2 linked regions of the Mytilus edulis genome follow. The protein of the gene in region 1 purifies or fractionates together with the protein of each later gene. This does not show direct contact. Links are inferred from orthologs where the notes say so. Each region holds a gene or a part of one and is shown on either strand. Other genes may lie near its edges. The genes, in order: acidic fibroblast growth factor intracellular-binding protein-like and C2 domain-containing protein 5-like.

Region 1 (3,936 bases):
CGTAAATAAGAGGGTGGTAATGGGTTATTTTCATGCAACGTTTTCGGCCTTTTTATTTCCTGTATTTTCTTTCATGTTTTGACGTTTTATTTCTCGTTTTCTCGTGTTTGGCTCGATTTGCGTGCTTCGTGTTTCCCTTTATCTATTTTCCGTGTTTCGTGTCTGTGCTCTTCATTTCTCGTGCATGTCACGCATTTGATTAAAAAGTCAGTGTGTTCATAGATGTAATCATCTATGGTGTGTTATACTGAATACCTTCGGAAATTTGTGATTGATTGATTGATTGTTGGTTGCTTAACGTCCAATCTAATCTGATAGTAATTTATGTATGTTGTTATCATTCTACTTTTGCAATATGTATGGTATCAATGAAGTCCATCAAATTACTATGAATGATTTTTTTTTCAAATAAGATGCAAGTAGCGGACGCTAAAAGATGACCGCAAGGTCTCCATGTCCATTGATAAAGGCTGCATAATCATCAAGAACAACTGAGTAATAACTTATAGTACTTTTTTTCCTTAATATTTATGATTTTATTTCTTGTGCTTCGTTTTTCCCAATTTTGATTTTTCGTGCAACGTTTTTGCGATTTTTGTTTCACGTGTTTTCGTGTTCAGTACCCCCTTTATAGTTACCACCCTCAAATAATAAAATTAAAAAATTTATAAACATAGAAATTCATTAATAAACATAGGTACTTGTGACACGATATTTGTTTAACCCTTCCTTTTAATTTTTTTTTTTTTTCAGATTTTGTTTGTTTGTTAATTTTGATTATTTTTGCGTTTTTAAATATAATAGAATGATGATTTGTTTGTCTATTTACAATCAATTTAAAATTTATTACCTACAGCAGTCACTGATATATTTTAAGGTGGTACCTAACACTACTGGGAGATAACTCTGTAAAGTCAGCTAAACGTTTTAATTACGTTGTGTTGTTAAAGGAATATTAAGCTTCTCAATGATCAAAATTGTTTTTTGTCAAAGTGCTATATAACCAGTGTAATTTTTCTGACAAAACAGTTGGTTCAAAAATTTTTAAATTTTTATATTTTTGTTTAAGGGTCTACTTTGACAAAATTTTATGAAAATTAAACGAGCCAAATTAATTTTAGTGAAAGTGTTGGGTACCACCTTAAACAAGTTTTTTCTGGTAAATTCTGATACAGAAAAGCGAAAAATAATCGAAATTTATATATAAAAAAAAGGGGGGATGGCTAAAAATTGTCCTGTTCCCAAGTACCTATTATTCTAGCGTGACTGTTGTTATCGAGGTAAAAATAAGTTTTTTCCATCAAATCCAAGTTATGGTTATTTCACTGCTGTTAATTTGATGTGAAGTGATGTTTTGATTTATTTCATGTGAAAATTCGGATGACAAGGGAGAAAACTTGGCTGTTACTGAATTGGATTATCTCCCGTGATACAACTATTTACCAAACTAATAAAAGAAGACCAACAGTCCCCGTGGAACCAAACTGTGGTTTGCAATGTGATTCAGTTATCGAAGACACATTTTTAGGTCGGTACGAAGAGAAATAATCTTATGCTGTCCTTTAGATAATGTCTATTTAATGATTTTATCCGAACTTTCATACTCATACTGTCAGTATCTATCTGATACAAATTTAGTGTCAGTGTCAACTCTTGATATTGATGATGAACTGACTGTCATACTCATGGGATACGCACAGCCAGACAACCTTGCATGGACGTTCCAGGGGGTCTGGAGGGGGGCCGGCCCACCCTTTAGTGCCAATTGTGGGGGAAAATTTGGTTGATTATTGAGGAAATCACTGAAGCATGACTGATAATTTTGATGATTCTGTAATATATGAATTCTGTTCTTGTAAAATTTGGTCATGAATTCATTGTTTTATTTGAGCAAGCATAGGTGTACAGGGGCGGATGCAGGAATTTTCGAAAGGGGGGGGTGCTAACCCAGGGCAAAGGGGGGGTGCAGGGGGGGTGCAAAACATATGTCCCGATACAAATGCATTGATCGGCAAAAATAAAGGGGGGGTGCGCACCCCCGGAACCCCCCCCCCCCTGGATCCGCCACTGGTGTAATAGGAACATTAAAAGATGTTAAATATGAAAAACACAGATTATGGATACATTTCTTCATATTACATGTCCATAGGTTGTTTTCTCTTGTTTGAATAAATATGTCATGAGCTAAGATTTTGTTAGATGAGATTAAATGATCTAAATATTTCATTGAAGACAACAAAATTTTAGCTTTTAAGGGGGGTAAATGATAGTGATTTGACAGAGGTCTCAAATATTATAATATTTATTGAAATAGTCAAATAATTTTTTTTCAATTTAAATATTTTTTTCAAAATCAATCAATATTTTGATTGTCTAGAAGAAAGTGTACATTTTATCATCATTCACCAAAAATAACCTAAAAACTTCATTTGGCCTGATTTTTACTGTTATTTTTCATGAAGGTACTCCCATTCTTGTATGTGTGTCAATCAAGTCTCTAAATAAACTGTTAAAAATGTCTAACCACAACACAAAAATCTGTGGTCTAACATAATTTTCTATGTACAGCCTGTTAATTTATATGTTGGAGCTGGGAACAGTATATCTATATCTTCCTGAACACGCTTGAAATATTTGCCACTGGATGTAAAGCAACCATCAATCAATCATTATATTTATATATATGTTCCTAGTTGGAGCCATAGTGTATTCAAATATGTTTGATTATGTGAAACACCTGAGAGTTAAGTAAGACATGACCTTAGACATTGAGTAGTCCAAGATTACTCTTGACGTCCAACGGCTGTGTATAGATATAGATAAATTACATTTTTAAATCATCATTTATATTTTTCAGGTTTTAAAAAAATTTGGTTATGGCAACATTAGATGTGTTTGTTGGAAACTTCACCATAATTGATTTTGAGCTGTATGATCTATGGCTTAATGGATTATCAGGTAATATTGTACATGTATAAAAAGATGATATTTTGTAATGGAAGGAAAAAAAAAAAAATCAAAACTTTTCATTTTCGATATACACAGACCAATTCTCAATCTTTCTTCTTTCCTGATAGATATTGAGTATGTATGGTTTAGGGGTGAAGATCTCGACCATTTCCAAGTTCTCAAACAGGAGGGGGTGGTCTACTCCAGGCACTCCCCCTATATTTCATTTGACATATTATATTGTCTCATACTTGAATTTATGGTTTAGGGGTGGGAATCTCGATGTTTCAAAGTTCCCAAACAGGAGGGGATGGGGTGACCTCAGGGACTCCCCCTATATTTCATTTGATAAGTTATGTTGTGCCATACATGTGTATGTATGGTTTAGGGGTTGGGATCTCATCCATTTCTGTGTTACCAAACAGGAGGGGTTAGGGTGACCTCAGGGACTCCCCCTATAGTTCATTTGATTTGTTATATACATGTAGTACAATACATGAGTATATATGGTTCAGGGGTAGGGATCTCGACCATTTCCAAGTTCTCAAACAGGAGGGTGTACAGTGACCACAGGGACCCCTATATTTCATTTGATTTATTATATTGTCCCATACTTGAATATATGGTTTAGGGCTGGGGATCTCGACCGTTTAAAAGTTCCCAAACAGGAGGTGGTGGTTTGACCCCAGGGAATCCCCCTATATTTCATTTGATTAGTTATATTGTCTCATACTTGAATACATATGGTTTAGGGGGTAGGGATCCCAACCCTGTCAAAGTTACCAAAAAGGAGGGGGTTGGGTAACCTCAGGAACTCCCCTATATTTCATTTTACTAGTTATATAGTCCCATACATGAATGTATATGGTTGAGAGGTGGGGATCTCATCTGTTTTAAAGTATCAAACAGGAGGGATAGAGTGGCACGAAGGACGCCACATATTATCATATGATTTGCTTACATTCAGGTATTATATAATATAATGGC
Region 2 (3,936 bases), on another chromosome or scaffold:
ACATTAAATTTAACTGAATATATAATTATGTGGTTTATGTGTTTTTCAAGGAGATTTGGAAAGCCACGTCTTACACACAGCTGCATAGATCTAGTATTTATTTGCAATAATGTTTGACCTAGAATAATTACAATTTAACTTTTTGTACAAATAAGTTTTTTATTGTCATTACAGGAACCAATTGCTAAGAGGGTAATTGCAGCAGATCCGGAAATACCACTACCAGGGACCCAGGAGAACATTTAAAATAAACAAAGTTATTAACGATCAATTCTTCACTTTATTATATATACAGGCATTATTTACTTTTCATAAACTTTTTTTTATAACTTTCATGGGTGGGTATTTAGCTAGCCAGATATTATATTCAGAACGTGAACATGCTTAATGAGAAATGTAAACTACGATGAAATAAATTGAATCTAAAAAAAGAAGATGTGGTATGATTGCCAATGACTCTCCACAAGATACCAAACGACACAGAAAATAACTATAGAGGTCACTGTACGGCCTTCAACAATGGGCAAATCCCATATCGTATAGGCAGCAATTAAAGACGGGTTAAAGAGACCGGGGCAACATCTTATACCTCTTATAGAGTTACATATATGATAAATGCATATTATTTTTACAAGCACTAATTCTATCAAGAACTGCATACGAATAGGCAGCCTCTCAGCTATAGATGGCCCTAGGATTCATTTCTGTTATATCACAATTGAAGCTACAAAAAAAAAGAATATACGAATTCCTTCAGAGAAAAACACCAACATATATCATCTAGAGGTGACCACATGGTCCCAAACACAGTTGATACTATGTATGATCATTTTTGGGCCAATTATATAGCATAATATAAAAGTGCAAGTATATTACGTCGACATAATGTGATATTTACGTTGTAGAAACGTAATTTAACGTCACCACAACGTTAATGTATGATGTTGTGATAACGTGATATAAACGTTGTAATGTCAGGAATAACATTGTAGAAACGTAATTTTACGTCACCACAACGTTGATGTATGACGTTGTGACAACATAGATATAACGTGATATAAACGTTGTTGTAATGTCAGGAATAACGTTGTAGAAACGTAATTTTACGTCACCACAACGTTAATGTACGACGTTGTGACAACGTCAAGAAAACCCTACACTTTTATGTAAATACAACGTAATAACCTGACGTCAATGCGACGAAAACATGACATTGTCACGACGTAATTATGACGTAACATTGTTAGCTGGGTTACTGTACATGTTTTTTATGATAAGGTGTGGGAACAGGGTCAAAAATGCAAAACAAACACGTAAAAGTAAAAGCAAGAGCTATTTCATCAGCATAAAAATATTTTTACCATCACAATCGAACAGAAAGTTATCGATACTATCAATTATTTTCCTGGCAATCGCTCTGTCAACTTTTCTGCATGCCATAATTATTGACCTTTCCGATTCAGTAAATCTTCTATGTGGAGTCTAGAAAATAAAAAAGACTATTTCAAAATGTACTATTTATCTTTATGAAAATTAATGATCATTCATTCAAATGATTGACAGCAGTGGCGACATTTCTATAACACCAGTTAAATTAAATTCATTCAAAAATAAATTATTTTGTACAATGAAAGGTAAATCAGGAGAAATTATAGTATTGTGAAAGTGTACTTTGAGATGACATTCTTAAAAATTTTCCATTCGGAACGTACATCTCTTATTAATAAATAATTCAAAATGGCTTTACAAGCGAGCACATGCAGACGAAACTCTTTCTTCGTTTAGTTGATTCACTTGCGAAAGAATAGTTACTTCAGGTTTTAATTTTCATCATAACTTCACCATCAATTAGTTGGTATAACATGCAACGATTCAGAATAGCTGTCAATGTGTGTTTGTCAGTAGTGTATGTCAACAATCTTGAAATAATCATTTGTACAAAAAAAATGTAATCACATACATCAGCCCCAGAAATATATTGGTTTGTCAAACAGGCTGCTTTAGAGACCTAACAAAAGTTGTCAACAAACTATTATTCCTCTGAATAAATACCGGATAATCTGAATAAATACCTGATCACCTGATAACTAGTATCCAACTACATACATGTGACAGAGTTGTCAAGCCACAACTGGAGATTTGGAAATTTTCAGCTGGAGTTTAGGTCTCAAAACTGGAGATTTATTATCGACCTTTTATCGACGTACGCAATGATTTTTTTGTGTGTTTAAACTGCATATCTTCCTTTTTTTTTTTGGTTAAAGGAACAATAATTCCATACCTGTCAACACCTGATACTTGATAAAAATAGAAGATAAGGGGTTTTCAAAAATTTATTCATTATGTATAATTCAAAATAAAGTGATCAGCCATCATACATAGTTGGCAAAAAGTATCTCTGATAAAGCTAAATTGTCAACTTTGGTACCACTACTGGCTTGTAACAGAAGGTGTTAAATTGATAGATATGTAGGCTTGCTGGTTGGTAGCTGTCTCCATAAGTGTGGTCAAGTCATTGGGGCCATCATAGTCAGCTTTGCATGAAGTGTAGTAAGCATGGTCTTGACCCTTGGTACTGGATCTGCACCATTTGAAATCAAATCTCAAGACAGAGTTGAATTGGGCTAGATACTTGGTCTTCTTTTATTTGCTGCTGGGATTTGGTGATAAAAAACAGTTTGCATTTTGTCAAATTCAAAAATTTCCAAGACAACTATACTTATATAGGTATTCCATTGGCTTGGATAGAGAACTAGCCATAAATATCATATTTGAGTTGATTTCATTTGTCTTTGAGGTTCAGTAAATGTTCCATGTTTTCAACAGCATCACATAGTGAATTGCATCGTTGTTTATACAACTTGTACAATTAGTCAATTTAATCCTTTGTCAGTATTAACTATTTCACTTTTAATCAACCAGGCTTGTGTCTTAGACTAGCTAGTTGTCACCAGGTAATTGCCTATTATCTTTAATTTATTGCTGTATAAACAGTTTAATCCTAAACACCTTGGGCTGATTTTACCTATTTTATGATTTTGACACAACAGGCAATTTCCGTTTTTCTCGGACTTTTCCCATATCAATTTCGAGTTTCTCGGACTTTTTCTCTGTCCCTATCGATTTTGTAAACAAAAATGTGTATTGAAAATTTTACGAGGTTGACATTTTCAAAAGCGGAAGATTTCAAATTTTAACGGGAGGGACGGAAGAGGGTCTGAAAAGCGGGAGATTTTGACTCCCGCCGGAAGAATCACATGTATGCAACTATTGAATTAAAACAAGCACCTGCCAGATATTATATACTCCAGTTGTGATTAAGAATAAAACTTGATCACAACACGCATTGTTGGATTCAATATCAGGCCTCGACAATAACGCTTGTCCGATTGTCTGGTACCAGAGGGAAAAAAGGTCGGACAAGTAAAAGCTGTATCAAGCTTGTCCGTCGGGACAAGTACAATTATTCAGCAGAAAATAAATTTAATCCAACTTTGATGAACAATAATTATAAACAAAAAACAAGAAAACAAATATTAGTTTGACATGTTTCTGCATTCTGTTTATTCAAATGCAAAACCTTTTTCTTCAACATGTGTACTTGTTGCAATCGATAATTTTTAACTGATTCTTTGTCGGGTAGTTTTTAACAGGTTAAATGTATACTATTCTCGGAAACCAGTCTTACTGATCCGAATCAATGATGTGCTTTGTAGATAAGGTAACTTTACAGGACAATTCGTCACCTCGACAGGTTTAGCTCCAAGTTTAATAGACAGTTTGGCACCGTAGGAGACATATTTAGTAGACATGATTGATAGACAGTTTGACAAGGCAGGAGACATTTTGGGACCAAGACTAATCAGTACCTCATTTTGCTACCTTATTCTGTTCCATATAACAAACACCATACTGGTAATTTTTTCACAAAATTTC

The links.
Region 2: the proteins of acidic fibroblast growth factor intracellular-binding protein-like (region 1) and C2 domain-containing protein 5-like purify together in Homo sapiens (affinity purification with mass spectrometry; 3 studies listed by BioGRID and IntAct, counting the BioPlex papers as one, with this or other methods). This does not show direct contact. The link is inferred for Mytilus edulis from reciprocal best matches to the Homo sapiens genes FIBP and C2CD5.

Annotation. Positions count from the first base shown.
Region 1 is NC_092346.1:70,087,527-70,091,462, reverse strand, and holds the start of acidic fibroblast growth factor intracellular-binding protein-like, read left to right. Parts: upstream 1-1,242; 5' UTR 1,243-1,528; exon of another isoform or gene 1,529-1,532; intron 1,533-2,857; 5' UTR 2,858-2,876; coding exon 2,877-2,958; intron 2,959-3,936. UniProt on the Homo sapiens protein: May be involved in mitogenic function of FGF1. May mediate with IER2 FGF-signaling in the establishment of laterality in the embryo.
Region 2 is NC_092350.1:79,274,553-79,278,488, forward strand, and holds the start of C2 domain-containing protein 5-like, read left to right. Parts: upstream 1-1,731; 5' UTR 1,732-1,817; intron 1,818-3,936. Other genes in the region: glycerol-3-phosphate phosphatase-like, read right to left, coding at 1,362-1,440. UniProt on the Homo sapiens protein: Required for insulin-stimulated glucose transport and glucose transporter SLC2A4/GLUT4 translocation from intracellular glucose storage vesicle (GSV) to the plasma membrane (PM) in adipocytes.